Mytilus edulis: one gene and its partner. The protein of the gene in region 2 purifies or fractionates together with the protein of the main gene of each other region. This does not show direct contact. Links are inferred from orthologs where the notes say so. Each region holds a gene or a part of one and is shown on either strand. Other genes may lie near its edges. The genes, in order: 14-3-3 protein epsilon-like and 3-phosphoinositide-dependent protein kinase 1-like.

The links.
Region 1: the proteins of 3-phosphoinositide-dependent protein kinase 1-like (region 2) and 14-3-3 protein epsilon-like purify together in Homo sapiens (affinity purification with mass spectrometry; 3 studies listed by BioGRID and IntAct, with this or other methods). This does not show direct contact. The link is inferred for Mytilus edulis from reciprocal best matches to the Homo sapiens genes PDPK1 and YWHAE.

What each region holds. Positions count from the first base shown.
Region 1 is NC_092349.1:66,415,228-66,425,813, forward strand, and holds the start of 14-3-3 protein epsilon-like, read right to left. Parts: upstream 5,055-10,586; 5' UTR 4,884-5,054; coding exon 4,820-4,883; intron 1-4,819. UniProt on the Homo sapiens protein: Adapter protein implicated in the regulation of a large spectrum of both general and specialized signaling pathways. Binds to a large number of partners, usually by recognition of a phosphoserine or phosphothreonine motif.
Region 2 is NC_092352.1:32,966,957-32,977,769, reverse strand, and holds the start of 3-phosphoinositide-dependent protein kinase 1-like, read right to left. Parts: upstream 4,567-10,813; 5' UTR 4,418-4,566; exon of another isoform or gene 4,385-4,417; intron 1-4,384. UniProt on the Homo sapiens protein: Serine/threonine kinase which acts as a master kinase, phosphorylating and activating a subgroup of the AGC family of protein kinases.

The DNA of each region.
Region 1 (10,586 bases), on a different chromosome or scaffold from region 2:
GCTTCTGTCTAAGTTCGAAAAATCCAGCATAGTTATGAATCTAAAAAATGTTTTGCATTTTTTACTGCAGACTATGTATGTCATGTTATTAAACTGGAAGAAAAAATAAGTCCATTTATAAGTAAATTACAGATAAACAGGTACAAAATTTCCTTCTAGATACTAGATTTTAATCATATATACAAGCTTTTGTCCAAGTTTGGTAAAAATCCAAGATAATATAAGAAAGTAAATAAAATTATAACCAGGTGCTCCGCAGGGCGCAGCTTTATACGACCGCAGAGGTCGAACCCTGAACAGTTGGGGCAAGTATGGACAAAACATTCAAGCATGATACAGCTCTGAATTTGGATTGTGATCAAATTTTTGACATTACATGGTTTTTTTTTTACACAAAACAAATGCCAAGATTTTACAAATCAATTAAAGATTTCTTCTTCAAACTTTTTGAGCAAATCACTATGCTGTTGAATATTAATCCTCTCAAAAAAATGTTTGAAGAAATTTTCTTTTTATTTATGAAATCTGAAATGAGAAAAATTTAACCCCCCCCCCCTTTTTTTTTCACATCCCCGTTTCCCTTTTTCAAAACTGATATCAATTCAAATTTCTACTTGAGTTTGCAACAATAACTACTCATTTAAATACATCATAAAATATTAAGATGTAAAAAAACTGCTTGTTATCACTGAATGGTAAAGATTATTTAAATTTATCAGTTGGTAGTAAAAAGTGTATATACATTGTATATTGTATATAACAAAGATTTAAGTTGATTCTGGACAAAGAAAGATAACTCCAATTAAAAAAAATTCTTGCTATTGCACAAATAGGATATTTCTTGCTTACTATTCTGGACAAAGAAAGATAACTCTAATTAAAAAAAAATTTGCTATTTCACAATATTGTGCAATTAGATATTTCTTGCCATTGCACAATACTGTGCAATTGAAAAGACGTGCTATTGCACAATACTTAATATAATAATTTTAGATCCTGATTTGGACCAACTTGAAAACTGGGCCCATAATCAAAAATCTAAGTACATGTTTAGATTCAGCATATCAAAGAGGCCCAAGAATTCAATTTTTGTTAAAATCAAACTTAGTTTAATTTTGGACCCTTTGGACTTTAATGTAGAATTTGAAATTTGAAAACAGGACCAAAAATGAAGAATCTACATACACAGTTAGATTTGGCATATCAAAGAACCCCAAGGATTCAATTTTTGATGAAATCAAACAAAGTTTAATTTTGGACCCTTTGGACCTTAATGTAGACCAATTTGAAAACTGGACCAAAAAAACTTCAATAATCAAGAATCTAAGTACATTTTTAGATTCAACATATCAAAGAACCCAACCGATTCATTTTTTGTCAAAATCAAACTAAGTTTAATTTTGGACCCTTTGGACCTTAATGTAGACCAATTTGAAAACGGGACCAAAAGTTGAGAATCTACATATACAGTTAGATTCGGCATATCAAAGAACCCCAATTATTCAATTTTGATGAAATCAAACAAAGTTTAATTTTGGACCCTTTGGGCCCCTTTTTCCTAAACTGTTGGGACCAAAACTCCCAAAATCAATACCAACCTTCCTTTTATGGTCATAAGCCTTGTGTTTAAATTTCATAGATTTCTATTTACTTATACTAACATTATAGTGCGAAAACCAAGAAAAATGCTTATTTGGGTCCCTTTTTGGCCCCTAATTCCTAATCTGTTGGATCCTAAACTCCCAAAATAAATACCAACCTTCCTTTTGTGGTCATAAACATTGTGTTTAAATTTCATAGATTTCCATTTACTTAACCTAAGGTTATTGTGCAAAAACCAAGAAAAATGCTTATTTGGGCCCTTTATTGGCCCCTTATTCCTAAACTATTGAAACCAAAACTCCCAAAATCAATCCCAATCTTTCTTTTGTGGTCATAAACCTTGTGTCAAAATTTCATAGATTTCTATTAACTTAAACTAAAGTTATGGTGCGAAAACCAAGAAAATGCTTATTTGGGCCCTTTTTGGCCCCTTATTCCTAAAATGTTGGGACCAAAACTCCCAAAATCAATACCAACCTTCCTTTTATGGTCATAAACCTTGTGTTAAAATTTCATAGATTTCTATTCACTTTTACTAAAGTTAGAGTGCGAAAACTAAAAGTATTCGGACGGCGGACGACGACGACGACGACGCAGACGCCAACGTGATAGCAATATACGACGAAAATTTTTTCAAAATTTGCGGTCGTATAAAAACTTTAACCTCAGAGTGAACGTCTTGTTTCCAGGCAGAAAAACTAAGTCCATTTATAAGTAAAACACAGAATGGAATTTTTACAAAATTTACTGCTGAATACTATCTTATAATCATATACTTGCTTCTGTTTAAGTTTAGTACAAATCCAGGATAGTTTTAGAAAGTTATTTAAATTTCAAAAACTTTTAACAGAGTGAATATTTGTGACGGAATGTTGGATTGCTAGGTCTTGCTTTTTCATATAATTTTATTTAAGATGCATATGTTAGTGATAAATTTGTCCTGGTAAAATATGTCTGGGCGGACAAACATTACTAGTATAATAAGTCCATGGTTACAGAATTTACTAGTATATCTAGTCCAATGTTAGTAATATATGTCCCCAGACTAATTTTCCTAAGTAATCATGTCCTTTAATTTAAAATCATATAATAAATTCAATTACATTTAAACCATGGAAATTTAAATGTTATGTTTTAGTAATGTTTAAGAATTGCATAGTTATATTTTTGATAAAATTCATGTCCCCAGACTAATTTTCCTAGGAAATCATGTCCATGTCATTAATAGTTCTAGGTTAAAATGTCTTTGCCCTTAATTTTAAAAGGTGAATATAAAATTATAAATGTAATATGTTTTAATATTGTTAAAGAGTTGTATGTATCAAATTCATGTCCCCAGACTAATTTTCCTAGGAAATCATGTCTATGTCATTAGTATTCCTAGGTAAAAATGTCCATGTCTTTTATTATAAAAGAAAATGTTATAAGCAATGGGAATTCAATATTCATGTTTTAATTAGGTTATAAAGAAAATGTCCTTCATTTTAATTGGAAAAAAATAAGGAAATTCTCCAATCTTATCTAACATTTTTTTCATCTATTTTAAATATATTTTATGATTTAATAAAACTCTAAAGAAAAACAAGTCTTAGGACAATTTTTCCTAGAAAAACAAGTGCTAGACATAATTTACTAGCTATGGACTTATTTTCCTAGGAACATTTGTCCTAGGACTTATATTACTAGTAAAATCATGGACATGAACTTGATTAAGTAGGAAAATAAGTCTGGAGGACAAATTTTACTACCGGACCAAATTTACTGTTACACTTATGGCCTGTAGAGATGATTTTACAAGCCTTGGATGCAGAGTCTGTGGCCATGTGTGAAGACTATGTTGGGGTATGTAGGGATACCAGAAATCTTTTTATTTTGTAATAAAGCAACAGTTTAAGCTCTATAGACTTCCTAGAATTAATAATGAAAGGGGTGTTTTATGTTCATTGGGATACAAAAGTGCATAGTGAAGACTTTTAGAGCTTACAAAATAAAAAATAGGTTTGGTTCCTGTTACATACCGCAATAATAGTCAGTTGATCATGATTTATATTTTGCCTGCCTGCATTGATTTTTATGAGCATTTTTTAAAGGTTAAACTGTCAGCGCCATAAATGTTTCCTTTAGAGTTTATGGTTCGATTTTATCAACCAAAAGATAAGCTCACTTACTCAAGTTGGCATTTTAAAGTTAGCTGGCCAATATTACCAATAAGATCGTAACAACTTCTGGACAACTCTGCATTACATACATGTATGGGGTGGAAGCGACAGACTAGTATAACAGCGAACAAAAATGGTATCCAAGACCAGTTTTTGGTTGAACAATCATTGAGTGAACTTCTTTTGGGCCTTAGATAGTTACCAAATAGTTGTTTCATCAATGTTTATTAGAAAAGATGGTGACAAACCCAATAAAGGGTAATCAGACGTTTTATTGGACTACATGTATATACAATGGCAGATTTTTGACAGGACATATTTCCGGACTGGCTGTATGTCTATGGATGCATTATTTATAGAACATCACACCATTGAAATAGTAAATCAGTATTTTGGGATAGTAAAAATTTGCAGATTAGGTTTCTACCAAGGCCACTCCTTCAAGTTTTATTTCCTATATTATTACAATCAAAAGTTATAACTTGTCTGCAGGTGGATTGAACATTATCATATCATACACATGCAAGGAAAACTCGTTGAATTATGAGCAGTCAGAAGGGTAGACCATTTAACATTAAATGATATGTCTGGGAGTTTAAAAGAATAACTGTTCAAATGTGTAATACATTTCAAATGGTTTTCAAATGTACACCATTGCAAAACAATATATAATTGTAGATTCAACTTCAAGAAACCTAACGATACATGGACGTTGTGCATATTTTACATTTATTTAGAACAGTTTACTGGCATTTAATATTCAAAATCTGCATTTAGAAACAACTAGAATCACCCAAAATGGCGACCGTCAGTGTCATGTCAATATCCATGGACACAACTGCAAATATTATCCTCTACGGACAAAAACAGTTTAAAACATTTACCAGTAAAGTATTAAACATGACATGCAATCAGAAAATCAGACATAAAGGTAAATAAGAGGCATACAATAGAAGTTTTAACTGCTTCCTCGTCTTAAATTATGCGAGAGGAAGTAATGCAAGATAGCCGACATATTTTGATTGAATCGTTGACATGTATCGTAAACGAATAAATACCATCATATCTCTCGGCCTGTTCAGCCAACTTGGCCATGTAAACTAAATCCTCTCTATCAGCCATTTCGATGACCACAATTTAGCAAAGATTCAGAAAGATTGTAAATTACTATCGTAAACTGTTCTAAAATGGCCGATGCCGCCAATGAAAGTAGTTCCTTACTAACGGTTGTATCCATGCGCGGGAACAAGCCCATTCATGATTAATTCATTTACTCACCGTTTGCACACGGACGTAGTACGATATATTAATAATTTTACGATTGTCAATTTGTGACCTTGACTTCAATATGAATGCAAAAAATGTACAAATTTAGTCATTTATGTCAAAAAATCTTTTTTCAAAACAAAGTAATTTATTGAAAGATCATAAAAAGCAACTAGACACAACATTTTCTTACATATAATACTGATTTTTTTTCGCTTCTTGCTGTTCACAGTTTCTTAAATTTTTATGAACAAATACGACGCAGCGATTGACTAAGGGAGGAGGTTGCGTTAACTAGGTTGTCAGCTAGAATGTCTATTTCGTGAAAGACCCTCTGAAAATATGCAGCCGGCGTTTTGTAGGTCAAAATTAACGCATTAACTTGAAAAATCACTGAGCAGATGGAAAACATTGCGGAGAAGAAGTATTTTAAATAAATGTGTTAGTCAGATCATTGTCTGCTAAGCAATTCCGGTTCAAGCTGGTCGGCAAATTTTAGTCAATCTGATTAATCAGATCATAAGTCAGTTGTCATACAACATATGTGTCTTTAAATTAATATTGATCAATATTCTCGTGTCATTTCAAGGCAACTCAGTTTAATACGGTCCAGGCTATCTACAATCGTACAATTCAGGGAAATAATCTCTTCGAGAATGCAGTTTTGTCATAGCGGCTATATTTCAATGAAATGCTGAATTTATTTTAAGAAAATACCGAATTCTGAGGATTTTGCATAAAAAGAAAGGGGTTTAAGTATGCATTTACCATAGTATCCATGATTATGTAATCCTAGCTTTAAAGGTTTCAGTTTATTTAGGGAACAACCTCTGTCCGAACCCAACCCGCCTCTGAACTTCCATATTCCGTAATTAGAGGCAGATTTAGGGGTAGCCGTTGTGGAAAACAAATGGCTTATCATACACTATTCATAAATTAATGGGAGCGTGTCTCCTATTTGGAAGTCTTTGCTCTCCATTTTATGCTTGAAAATATCATGCAGGATTTGCCACGATTAATGACCGCCTGAAACTCTTTATTTTGGCTATTTTTATGACCGCCTTAAACGGCGCTGATTTTTTGGGCTATTTTTATGACCGCCTTAATTGCATTTTTTATATGTTATACATGTAAGCCTCAAATCTGTGTCCAGCCTAAAAAATGTGTCCTTCCCTCAGATCTGTGGCCCCTTCCATATTGCATCATAGACTTGCACCATATAGACGCCACAGGTCTATGTCATTGCTTTCCCTCAAATTCTGTTCTTTTCGTGAAACAAGTCATACATTGTCCTATGTGTTTCCGCAGGAAATTATCAGAGTCATACATGTATACATGTATATCCGTTAAATTGTCAAAGCATAGTGAGAAATATCGAGCCATGTTGGGTGCAAAGAAAATCATGGATGAGCTAAAAGTAGAATTTTTTAACATAATGGTAAAAGTTTGTTTGTCATTAGAGTTATGACTCAGATTTGAAGAAGAAAAAAACAGAGGATCGATAGCGGAGCCTGTGTCACTCACCTTAAAGTCTATGTGCATATTCAACAAAGGACATTCTACAACATTATAGACGAGAATAAAATTCATGACAAAAAATTCTGTTATGTTGATCTTGAATTGTATCGCTAATCATTCAGTCTGGTTTAGTTTCTCTCTTTCTTAATTCTTACGTTTTTGCTTACAACACTGACAAAAGAGGGGTCAACAGTCCTCTTTTAAGGGCAATTTCTCCTATAAATTTATTTATGAAATGCACATTTATACCCCTGGGGGTTGAAGGTATATACAAAAAATACAATACAATATACACAATGGAAATTTAACATATTAAACATCATATATAAAGTGGTAAAACAGTAATATTCAGTATGCAGGCGTTGTGTCCACTCCCCTCAGTGCAAATGACTTTTTAATGAACGGAACAGTAAGCTGCATAATATCAAATGAAGATAGAATTAATTGTTATCTGTCTGTTTCAGACAATTTAAAGTATTCTGGACATATATTATTTATATCTTTTTCAAGCTGCTTACGTAAAGATTTATTAATTTTACATTTTAAGAAAAAAGAAGGACAGTCTACTATCTAATTAAAAACCGATCTCTCATCGCTCCCGTTTTCTGATATTGAGAGATCAGGTTTTAATTAGATTGGACAGTCTATTAATTTCGTTACACAGCAAAATTTGACTTGTTAGTTCTTGACTTGCTGATAATTTTTGTGATTTAAAATGTCTTTTTATCTATTACAATCTTAACCATATAAAAGACAAAATGCCAAAAAAAATTGGTAAAAATCGTTGTCAATGGACAATAACGCCAATAAGGAGTGGTCAAATTTTTTCCCCTATATTGTCTTAATTTAAGTTCTTGGCCTACTGATAATTTTTGCTTATTTACGTTGATATGGCGAAAACGCAAAAAAATGGTAAAAATCGTAATTAAAGGGCAACAACTTTAATAAGGCGTCGACAGACGATTTCCACTAGATGATGATTTGTAGAACTTGTTTTGCTGATCATGTTTGCAATTTAAAGCTTCTCTTTTCTATTATAGTTTTCAAGATAATAGGCAATATTTAAATGAAAAAGGTAAAGAATTGTCACAGGACAATAACTCATAAAAGAAGTCTTCTGGCATATTTGACGTATTTGGACTGTAGGGCGTATGGCATTAGCGCCGAATAAAAAAAAAACAATCTTCCATTTGCGCCGATTTCATATTTGCGCTTAGTTGCATTTATATTTTAACATAAATAGGCGAGTAAATACTTGTGCATGCACTATACATTGAATGTAGTTTAATCTAATCCTACTTCCATCTCCCTGGAGTGAGGGGACAACAGTTATATATGTAATTCATAACATTTGTACAACTGGCTAACGGAAGAGGCCGTATAATCACTGGTGGTAAGCAGATGGTCGTAACTTAAAGTTACGACCATCCGAAGATGGGAGACAACTCTAGGGATACATTTTTCTTTTCCAATTTTCGTGCAGTAAAAAAATGTTTCAGTAAAACCGCTTGTCTCATACATACTAATCGTCAGTGCGTTGATATTGAAACAAAATTTGATACATAAAAACATTCCAATTTTCGTAAAATGATCATTCAATAATTCGAGCATGATGGTCGTAACTAAAAAAACAAAAATGTTCAGGATGGTCGTAACTTAAAATTGTGATGGTCGTAACTCTTTATTAAATAGGACCTAATAAGACAAGTCAATAGTTTTAAACGTGTCTTTTGTTATATGAATATATTATATGATATATTTGTGAAGTTGATTTCACTAAATGATAAAAACTAATAGAGGTGAAGAGAGGGATACCTGTAAAGTGCGAAAGGAAAGAAAATTGGAACGAATCGAAAAAAAAAACCAATACAAAATGAAATGACCAGTCACTGTTACTTAAAATATAATGTATAAAATCAACCAAGAGGCAACTAATTATAAGCTGTTAAGTTTAATAACAATATAAATTCTCAAAAGTGGAGAATTCATTTTAACACACAGCTCTTGTTATGATCATTCTTAGTTACGAATTAAGAAAAGGCGATTTTTAACAAATTTGACATCACATGAAATAACAGTATCCTGATTTATTTTCTTTATATTTTGCATGGATTGAAAAGATAAACTTTTTAAAAACTAGTATGTACCTACTAGGTGGAATTTAAAAGAAAAATCTACAATTTAAAATTGATACTTTAAGTCGAAAGAGCATAAGTAAGGAGTCAAAATAATGTTATGGGGATCGTTGGAGACCATATCCGCGAATTCGCAGGTCCGTAATTGAATTAAACAACATACATCTTATTCTTAGCCTGGATTTTGAGAAGTCGTATTGTCATTTGGTATATAGTCAAGCTGATTATAAGGTGCAAATTCGAAGTTCAGGTATAATTATTACCCGTGGTTTTTGAAAATTCTGAATACGCCTATTGGTACCATGCTATCCGTTATACATCTTTATCTTTCTTATGAAAAATACCAGGAACCCTGGACCAAACGTTTTTTATTCCCAATTCATAAAGGGAATGATGCATCCGATCTTAATAACTACCGAGGAATTACAATTACTGATTCATTGAGGAAGCCTTTTTAATAAGATACTTGATACACGTCTTTGTAAATCCTTAGATAAATATCATATCATTGATGAGAGCCAAATTGGGTTTATCAAAAAAAAAAAAAAAAAAAAAAACATGACCGGTACCATCTGACCATATGTTCATTCTAAAAACTATTATAAATAAGTATTGTAATACAAAAGAAGGTAGAATGTTTGCTTGCTTTGATGATTTCCAGAAGGCTTTTAATACTGTCATTCTCCCAGGGATAAAACTTAAGCTATTGAATATAGTTAGAGAGTATGGTAAGAGATCTCTTTAGAACTAAAGTTGGAGTAAAACAGGGAGACAATTTGAGTCCAAATTTGTTTAAAAGTTTTATAAATGAACTTCCTGATTGTGTTAAAAGTTCCCCTGATCCAGCTGTCGTTTATTCACGACCAGCCTATTCTTTACTATACATATGCTGATGATCTTGCCATTTTACTACTTCAGCAAAAGGACTTCAAAGTAAACTTGATGGATTAAGATCGTTGTTTGAAAATTAATCCCAATAAAACCAAGCCATAGTATTTAACAAGACAGGCAGACATATCAAACATGATTTTTTTATTTTAAAAACAGGCGTTAAAAGCCTACCATAAGCTACGCAAGGACTTTCTGTCACTGAATTCAAGTTTAAAAAACAGCCTTCATGTTTTTGAGCATACAATATAATGCACCTATTCTCCAGGGGCGGGTCAAAAATTCTGAAAGCAAATATTCAACAATTTTATGCCTTAACGTACAGTAAAAATATATTAATACTCAACCCTAACATACTATTTGGCTTAATGTGAGTTGATTAGTTTTCACTGTTTCTCCTAAACGATGGTCGTTTGGAACATATCAAAAATGTATGATTGATAATTCTTTAACTTAATTTCTGCATACCATTATCAGAGTAACAAATGAAATAATATTTTTTGTAGTAAACTTTATATAACAACTGAGTTTATTAACATGGTTATGCATGTGCACAGTACTTTTAAAATAACTTGATAAAAGTTCGTCTAAATACTTGAGTTACGGTCATCTCTCAAAGTTACGACCATCTTGTGTCGGTTACGACCATCATCCAAAATACTATAGTTGACATTACGACCATCATGCTCGAATTTTTGAATGACTATTTTACGAAAATTGGAATGATTTTATGTGTCAAATTTGGTTTCAATAAGAATGCACTCACATATGTGTATATGAGACAAGCGGTTTGACTCAAATGAACCTTTTACTGCACGAAAATCGGAAAAGAAAAACTTACCCCTATAGTTGTCTCCCATATTCAGATGGTCGTAACTTTTAGTAACTTTTAGTTACGACCATCCGCTTACCACCAGTGATAATGATAAATAGAAAATAACATTCACCTGTAAGTTACCTGTAAAAATAATCGGCGCAAATAAAAAAAAATCAGCGCAATTGAAAAAAAAAAATCAGC
Region 2 (10,813 bases):
AATAGACACTGAATAGTACACCAGGACTGAGGTCACCATACAGCCTTTATTAATAAGTAAAACCCATACCATGAAGTCTGCTATAAACGGCCCAACGTGAAAATGGAAAACAATTCTAACAAGAAAACCAACTTAACCAGATGCACCGCAGGGCGCACCTTTATACGACCACAGAGTTTGAACCCTGAACATTGGGGCAAGTATGGACACAACATTCAAGCTTGATACAGCTCTGAATTTGGATTGTGATTAAATAGTTGACACAACACAGGTTTCTGACACATAATGAATGTGGTCTAAGAACTTAAACTTAAAACTTTAAATTTTAAATTGGACATTACCTATTATGGTCCAATATCCAAAATCTAAATACATGGTTAGATTCAACATGTCAAAGAACCCCAAGAATTCAATTTTTGATGAAATCAAATAAAGTTCAATTTTGGACCCTTTAGACCTCAATGTGGACCAACTTATAACCTGGCCCAAACATCAAAATTTAAATACATGGTTAGATTAAGCATATATCAAAGAACCCCATACATACCATTTTTATTGAAATTAAACAAAGTTTAATTTTGGACCATGATTTGGACCAACTTGAAAACTCGGCCCATAATAAAAATAATTATAAGTACATGTTTAGATTCAGCATATCAAAGAACCCCAAGGATTCAATTTTTGTTGAAATCAAACAAAGTTTAATTTTGGGCCACGATTTGGACCAACTTGAAAACTGGGCTCATAATAAATAATATAAGTACATGTTTAGATTCAGCATATCAAAGAACCCCAAGAATTAAATTTTTGTTAAAATCACACTTAGTTTGATTTTGAAACCCTTTGGACCTTAATGTAGACCAATTTGAAAATAGGACCAAAAATTAAGAATCTACATACACAGTTAGATTCGGCATATGAAAGAACCCCAATAATTCAATTTTTGATGAATTCAAACAAAGTTTAATTTTGGACCCTTTGAGCCCCTTATTCCTAAACTGTTGGGACCAAAACTCCCAAAATCAAACCCAACCTTCCTTTTGTGTTTATAAACCTTGTGTTTAAATTTCATTGATTTCTATTTACTTATACTAAAGTTATTGTGCGAAAACAAAGAATAATGGTTTTTGGGCCCTTTTTGGGCCCCTAATTCCTAAACTGTTGGGACCAAAACTCCCAAAATCAATCCAAACCTTCCTTTAGTGGTCATAAACCTTGTGTCAAAATTTCATAGATTTCTATTTACTTATAAACTAAAGTTATAGTGCGAAATCCAAGAAAATGCTTATTTGGGCCCTTTTTGGCCCATAATTCCCAAACAGTTGGGACCAAAACTCCCAAAATCAATCCCAAACCTTTCTTTTATGGTCATAAACCTTCTGTTTAAATTTTATAGATTTCTATTCACTTATACTAAAGTTAGAGTGTGAAAACCAAGTCTTCGGACGCCACCGCTGACTATTGCAATTGTTCTTCTATTGTAAATTCCGCCAATTACGGAGCACTCAAAAGTCCGATTTTTATATCATTTTTCTTAAATTGAAATCTGTTTTGACTAACTTTAATATTGATATTATTAGATAAGCTCAACATGAACTATACGGAGATGCTTGTTGAATTGATTATAACCTTTCACAGTTGAATAACAAACTTATTTGTTGAATTAAGCTATTTCTGAAGATCGAAATAAAGACATTTGTCTCATTGACACTCTTATTTAAATTCACAACCAAACCTACTCAATTTTCAATGTAAAGATTACCCCACTCTCCCTATCTCCTTTCAGTAATGATGGAAATAAGACCCCTGAAATTGTAATTGAGACAGCCAAAACTTTATACAACCACAAATACAAGCAAATGAAGCAACTCAAGAAAATCCTAACCATGCTTACCCTCCACACGAACAAGAAATCCTAGTGGGAAACACAAAGTTGGTATAAATAATAATTGGTTGAAACAGTATTCCTGGTTACATTTTGACAAAGACTTTAGTTAGGATGGAGCATTAGTTGATGTCATGCTTTGCAAAGTTTGTAACCAGCATCAATCACACGGAAGTAATGGTAGTCAGACATGGTCTACTGTAGGTTATAAACTGTTGCGCAAAGATAAGATACAAATCCATCAAGATCGTGAACATCATAAATGTGCAATAACTTTAGATATGGCACACACCCTTGATGACATGGCTTCTAATATGTCTCCTGGTGCACAAAAAGCAGTGAAGGATGCTCTGTAAGTTTTATTTTTTATTCTGCACCACTTGACATATTTGGATCAACAGTTGACAAAACACAGACATTAACAAAAATATTAACTGTAAAATTAAACTGTGATGAAGTTAAATTTGAAAAAATTCTTGATCAATGTGTGACAACCTTCTTCAAAAAGAAAAACAGAAAACTTGTCAATGTCTTTTTATATTTCTTTGCATTTGAACTCTTCTTTGAAAAAATCTGTAGTTCTGGAAGAGAAATGAATATAGTAATGACTATTAGTGCTCTCAGTTTGATTTTAACTTATAAATTCTAAATAAATGATTTTTAAACTAGTATATAATAGTATAGACTGTTGAACTTAGCTACATGCTTGCTAAAAATATGTCATAATGTGGTTATATTAAGTATTTGATTTTTTTCAGTGAGAACGTGCTTAAGTGCCCTTTTTTAAAAACCCGCCACTCATTTTCAAATTCTAGCTGGAACACTGTCATAGGACTAAATAAATCGATATGGAGCACACAATAAACAACTAACATAAACATTAGCCACAAAGCAGATATAAGAGTACACTAAGTTACAAAAGTAGTTCAAAGCCAAAAGCAGCATGTAAAGAAATCAGGTTATCCCCACTAATACATCAGAGTGGAAAGATGTAACATCGGGAATTCCACAAGGCTCAGTATTAGGTCCCCTGTTATTTGTTCTATACATAAATGATTTGCCAGATTGCGTGACATCAGATGCCTACTTATTCGCAGATGACACAAAAATCTTTAGAATTATTGAAAGCAAAACAGATCAAACTATATTGCAAGATGATCTAAAAAATCTCGAGAAATGGAGTGATACATGGCTGTTGAAGTTCCATCCAGAAAAATGCAAACACATAAATATAAGTAGAGGGGTAAGAGAAGAAAAGACAAGTTACAAACTATTAGGTCATGATATAAGTAAATGTCAAGAAGAGAAAGATATTGGAGTAGTAATTGATGAAGATCTAACCTTTGAAAGACACATATGCGAAAAAGTGAACAAAGCTAATTCAACTTTTGCCGCAATTAGAAGGACATTTAAAAACTTAAACGAAAAAATCTTCATACCTCTATACAAAACATTAGTGCGAACACACTTAGACTATGCTAGCTCTGTATGGTCACCTTTTAAAAAGAAATCCATCGACAAAATCGAAAATGTACAAAAAAGGGCAACACGACAGATACCAGGATTCAATAAACTGAGCTACCCGGAAAGACTGAAAAAACTGGCAACATTGTAATATAGAAGGGTTCGAGGGGACATGATTGAGACATATAAGATACTAAATGGTAATTACGATCCAGAAACGAGTTCTTTCCTTAAATTAATTTCAAGCACTGAAAATAGACATACATTGTAGCACAAGAGTAAACTGTTTCACTAAACAGTAATAAAATCATTCACCAACGATTCAAAACAAGTCTGAGGAAAACAGTTTTTCTGTAAGAATAGCCAAATTATGGAACAAGTTACCAGATAAAGTAACTAAAGCGCCATCTATAAACTCATTCAAAAATAGACTAGATAGATACTGGGAGTACGAAGAAATCTATTGTTCTGATTATCGAGCTGAATTAACTGGAAGCAGCATCAGAAATAATGGAGACAATATTCAATTATATGAGTCTGGTGAAGAGGAACCGTGAGGATCCTGTACCGGAAAACATCATTAAGTAAGTAATACACCTTATTCTATTGGTTCCCTTTGACTGGGCATCACAAAAGTTCCCGTAAAATTGTGACGTTATAATAGAAACTATCTGACATGACAATGGAAAAGTGATTGTTGTTTGACATCAAAAGTTAGAGGAAGACAGATTTTTTGGTCAAGTAGGACAAATTTCTAAATAACCATAAAGTGTATCAGACACTAAAGTATCAAACTGTACACATCCAACAGATTTAGTGAAAGTTATCCATGTGCTATACAAATTTGTCAGTCCAAACTTCAAATTTACAATGAAAATCTTTGCATATTTATCTTTTTAATGGAAAGGGAAATGAAACAAAAAGTCACACCCTTTGAAAGAGTACTGTCATCAAAATTATTCATTATACAGATATTGGGAATGGACATTTGTTTGGGTGTATGCAAAATTCACTGTTAAAACAACGTAAAATCACCCAAAATGATTGTGGTATGGATCATTCAATTACCAGTTAGAAACACATATCTGTTATCGCAAAGTAAGTCTAAATACAAAGTTAATTCACTTTCTTTAAAATTTCAACCCGGCATCTTCTTATTTTTGTCAAATCCGGAAGTTGAAAGGTAACCAAACGCAAGCGCATTTGCGCAAGATCTGATGAACATCCTTATTGCATCGGCTTTTCAATGTTTTGGAGAAATACATAATTCAAACAATAGTATGCATAAAGTAACTTATAATTCAACTTTCATTTAGCATTTATATATCAGATATTCACAAAACAAATTTGTATCTATTTATAGCATTTACAACATCCGGGACTTTCGTGAATGGCGGATGACAGAACCTATTTCCGGAATCAAATGTGAGGTTGTTTTTCATACGAGAAACAAGATCTACAAAAGACAATAACTTGTCAATTGCCTGATCTGATTGCCAATAAATCTAAAGTACTAGGTAATGTTACAGATGCCATAAGTATTTACCATGTAAATAATTTACAGCAAATTTTGTCACTGTTTTTGCAACTGTCTGAACTCAGAAACATAACTTTATCTCTTGTGTCTATATTCCTAAAGCCATTTCATTTGATAGTACGAATTTGGTAGGTTCTGTGAAGGTAGTTACCTGTTTCTTCTTTTAAAACCAAACCTATCCTGGTAGGCTGATACTAGTTGATAGTGAAATTATCCAACTTGTAGCCTCCATCAGAACACAAGTTGTTTACAATGAGCCTTGAAAACAGATGCACCTGAATCTGGGTACCTTCAGCAAAATCTAGTTTACTCACATTCAGGTTTACTCCCTTCACTTTTGCATCCAAATTATACATGACCTCTTTTTAAAGGTTTTGTGTTGTATCATAAATTTCTTATGCACCCGCCCAGGAACATACATTGTATATTGACAGGACTTGACGCTACCAAATTATAGCTGATTTTATCATCAGAACATATTCAATAAAGATGCAATACAGAAACTGACATGTGTTAGAAAAGTACTCGCTATTACCCTAATAGTTTCTGGTGATATCAATAAAATGTCATTCAAATATATACATGTACACTGTAGTTTTAAAGTGATGCCAGAGTATCAGACTTGTTATCTGTCACTTCAAATTTGTTATAATCGAATTCATTTCTGCACAGAATGGAGACAGGATAATTAAAAAATGGTGCTGATTGCATTCCCAAATTCTCACATTTTAAAACATTTCACATCAAATAAATCACACTTATTTATTTACTATTAATTTGCAATATGCAGGGTTTTCCATTCATTTTGGCCTAACAGGCCAAAATGAATAAGTAGGCGGTCAATGGAAAGACATTCATTGAAATCTAGATTCAAAATCCTGGCATCTGGTGAATTTTAAGACAGTATTTCATGCTGGTCAAATTGACATACTACCAGCAGAACTTTTTTTCTAAATAAATTTGTCTGCACAATTTTAAGAGTTTGAATACTGCTATAATTTAAACATTGACAAAATTGAGTATACTGTTCAAATTCTGTATTGGATACAGCAATTTTATTTATTAGAAATTTTAATTATAGATAGGATGCACACTTTATTCTATATAATCATGTCTTGCTTTTGTTTTGAAATAATTTTGTAATATATTTAAGTTGTAATAGAAATACAAATAAAAGAATGAAAATCTTCTTGTTTTTAGAACTCATAGACTTTAGACAACACAACATGATGTGTAAAAAATAATGATTTGTAAATATTCCTTTATCGTTGGAAATTTTCCATATTTTCTTGAAGTATTCAGGCCTGTTGGGTCATATCAAATCAGGAGATAAACAATGTATTCCATGTCTCCCAATATAGAGACATCTCTAGATCTGGAGGCTGTCTCCCGATCGGGGAATATTGACTAGCTGTCGAATCTTCGATCCAGCGTAGTGCATTTGAACCAAATTGACAATTATGTCATCGATTCATTCGCGACTATTTATAAAACACAACAGAACAAATTGAAAAATAATGCATGCAAACGTTATAAATTGTTTTATCATAAAAATCCAAACCTTTGTGTCGCTTAGCGGGGAAAAAATCTGTGATGGAACGTTTCATCGTCAACAGTTCAACAAATGAAAGTTTTTAATGACCTTGACATTGCATGACTTGCATATATACTCGATATCTATCGGGATTTTTCTTATAAGTCTCTTTCGATGGATAACGACCATGTGTTCCGATAGAAATACAAACCGGAACTCTCAAACATAAATAAAACCTCTAGATAATAATAAAGTTACGACGTATAGAATAGTCGTATAAGTAAAATATGCACCTATTTTTTTTTGACTGATGACGATTGAACTGGCCAAATAACTGTTTGAAACGGTCAATTTGGCCAGCGGCCGGTTCTTATGGAAACACTGAATATACCAAAATTGTATTAGTCCTTTGCCAAATTTTGTTTGTTAGGACCTTGGACCACATTTTTAGTGGAAGAAGACGTCAAGTCTTCTGAAGACTTAAGGGGCCGACCATTGGCTTTGAGTCTCCGTATGCCGCATTCATTTCGTGTATTACAATTTCAAAACAACTTAGATTCCTGACACCGATTTTTATACATGATTGAGCATCTGAATCATTTAATTTGTAAATTATGATTGTAAAACAATCACTATCGTAAATATGACCCTTTTATTTATGTAAATTATTAGATTTCATCTCATCCACATGCACGTAATTTGTTTACTTGTAACAGGATGTTTTAACTGTAGATATTTGTATTACGCATGCGTGAATTTGGTATCGGTACAACTCACCCTGTTTACAAGTTCGCCCTTGAAGTTACGAATTTGCAATCCTGCAGACAAGAAGATTTTATTTTTATATAAATAAAAAGGATATATAAAGTGTTATCTTTATTCATGGGTTTCCTTTGTCATGTGAATTAGATGCCCTTCGTAACATACATGTGAACCTCCCGTTTAGGAGAAAAAACTCCCGTGTATGAAATTTTTCAGACGCCATATTTGATCATTTCTTACTACTGTACGGGTGTAATTGACACCTGTGTTAAATTTTACCTGAACATCAAAGAAGATGTATAATTATATGGCTTCACTTGACAGCTTGGGTGTCAAACATACTGGTAATCAACGATGTTTACCTCCGGCTAACTGCCGTTGTGTTATCAAAACGATGTGTATTGGGAATATTGAAATACTTTTTTGTTACTTCCCTTTGTTTTATCCTGTTTTCAGTTATTTTGCTTTTAAAAATGTAAATGGTAAAAAGACTATAAATGATTGATATTTTAATCAAATAATCATAAAAGGATGTTGATTAAATGAATTTAAATGATTTTGGACAAATAAAAAAATTAAAATTTATAAATTATTTTATTAATTTAGACCTCCTTTCAAGGATTAAATTGAAGTTTATATATTAAATTTGTTTATAACAGGTTTAAAGTCAACATATAATAAGTGCAACTAGGCTAATAGTCTAGCTTCTGCTAGCTTCACGTATAATTTTTCTACCAATTTAATATATAACTAGAATTATGCAAACAGACTTAAGGAAAAGGCATGTAAGTCATGTAAGTTCATACAAATATGACACTTTTTCTAGACAATCCAGATCTTGCAAAATACATCGCTAAAAATTGTAACCTTTAATTTTGTTGTTGTGCAGTAAAAACCCATATGGGAACTTTCAAAAGTTGGCAGGTATGTAACAAGTCTTACTATTTTTATGCTCCATTTATGGGCAATATGTTTTCTAGTCTGTCCGTCCGTCCTGCTTCTGGTTATAAAGTTTATGGTCGAGGTAGTTTTTGATGAAGTTGAAATCCAATCAACTTGAAACTTAGTACACATGTGTTCCTCTTGATATGATCTTCTTAATTACTGCCAAATTAAAGATTTTACCTAATTTTCATAGTCAACTGAACATAGAAAATGATTGTACGGATGGGAAATCCATGTACTTATGACCTTTTCTTGTTTGAAGAAAAAAAATACATTTTAACGATAATGGAACAAAGCAGCCTGGGTAAGTGGGGCTGCTTTTATGGTAATTCAAGTTACCTTTTATTCACCTTCTTCCACTTCAGAGCTATCAGCTCTTTGATTGGAGAACTTTGGTCTTGTGACATTGAAACTTTTTGTAGTTTACATTCATATTTATATTAAAGTTTATGATAAATATAAAAAAGAAGATTTGATATGATTGTCAATCAGACAACTCTCCACAAGAGACCAAATGACACAGAAATTAACAACTATATGTCACCATATTCGGTCAGTCTAAGATGGTTCTCTGATTTAAAGTATGGAGTTGTATTGGCATTTGCAAGTCTAATTTCCAGCATGTACAGTGTGCACCAAATCTTTTCTGACTGCTGGTTGGAAGACCTAGTTTTAAACATTTTTCTGAGTGTTTAAATAATGTTTTGTAAAAAATTACTATTCAGAATATTTTTTTTACTTGTCCAGGCATCTGACTAGTGGCTAAATGTACATACTAAATTTCAATTAAAATTGTGGGGTCTTTCTTGGCCCTCATACATGTTTCATTTGGATATTTTACATGTTAAAGTTTGCATTTATGTCTGCAGTTAAAAGAAAACTTCTGATGGATAGTTCATGATATTTGTCAAACAGTTATTTTAGTATTTTAGACATGGTTCATTGATTTTGAATATTAGCAATATTAAGTTTTTGTGGTTTGATTTATTTTTCAGATCCTACTACAATAGGCCCACTATATTTAGTGTATTGAATTATTGCATGTATATGTTGTCTGGCAGGGTTATTTAATATGACTTTGACTTAATTTTTATGGTTCATTAGTCATTGTTCAGTTTTCATTATTAGGTCTGTTTCTCTGTTCTGCCTTTTTATTTTTCACTCTATTAGGTCCTGGCATTTTTTATAAGTTAACCCTGATGTTTTTTTAACATAAACATGATAAATCTGTTTCTCAGATACTATAAGCAATAAGCTAACAATATTTGCTGTATGGTATGATTGTCCAAAGCCAGAACCTGCCATCCAGGGGTTTTTGGTGGTCACAGTTTGCCATATGTATCTTTTTTATATTGTATAAATGTAGACATTTGTTTTCTCTTTTTATTAGCTCACCTGGCCCGAAGGGCCAAGTGAGTTTTTTCTCATCACTTGGCGTCCGGCGTCCATCGTCCGTCATCCTGCGTCCGTCGTCGTTAACTTTTACAAAAATCTTCTCCTCTGAAACTGCTGGGCCAAATTTAACCAAACATGGCCAAAATCATTATTAGGGTATTTAGTTTAAAAATTGTGTCTGGTGACCTGCCCAACCAACCAAGATGGCCGCCATGGCTAAAAATAGAACATAGGGGTAAAATGCAGTTTTTGGCTTATCACTCAAAAACCAAAGCATTTAGAGCAAATCTGACTTGTAGAAAAATTGTTTATTAGGTCAAGATCTATCTGCCCTGAAATTTTGAGATGAATCGGACAACTCGTTGATAGGTTGCTGCCCCTGAATTGGTAATTTTAAGGAAATTTTGCTGTTTTTGGTATTATAGATAGAGATAAACTGTAAACAGCAAAAATGTTCAGCTAAGTAAGATCTACAAATAAGTCAACATGACCAAAATGGTCTGTTGACCCCTTTAGGAGTTATTGCCCTTTATAGTAAATTTTTAACCATTTTTCGTAAATCTTAGTTATCTTTTACAAAAATCTTCTCCTCTGAAACTACTTGACCAAATTAAACCAAACTTGGCCACAATCATCATTGTGGTATCTAGTTTAAAAATTGTGTCTGGTGACCCCGCCAACCAACCAAGATGGCCACCATGGCTAAAAATAGAACATAGGGGTAAAATGCAGTTTTTGGCTTATCACTCAAAAACCAAAGCATTCAGAGCAAATCTGACATGTGGTAAAATTGTTTATCAGGTCAAGATCTATCTGCAACAACAAAAGAAAGAGAGTTTTTAACAACCTCAGCTGGCTATAAAACCCTTGCACAATCAACTGAATTTTGCAGAAATCATTAATAGGATAGATTACCCTTATATGATAATTTTTTATTAGCTTTTTGTTTTTTTTTTGGCAAGGGGGGGGGGGGGGGTGCGCAACAACAAAACTACTTCACAACATTCTCATTACTTTGCATTTCTTGTTAGATAAATTTTACAAAAATTCTCCCCTGAAACAACTGTCGAATTTAAACAAACTTGGTTTAAATCACCACTAGGATATCCAGGGACCACTGTGTATGATGACCCTGCCTGCCCACATGGCTGAAATAAAACATAGGTTTCAAATGCACTTTTAAGTATTATATCTCTGAAACTAAACGACAGTACAACAGTTGCTTTTATCATGCAACAATTGTAAATTAAAATATCAGGTGAGCGACACAGGGTCCTTGGACCCTCTAGTT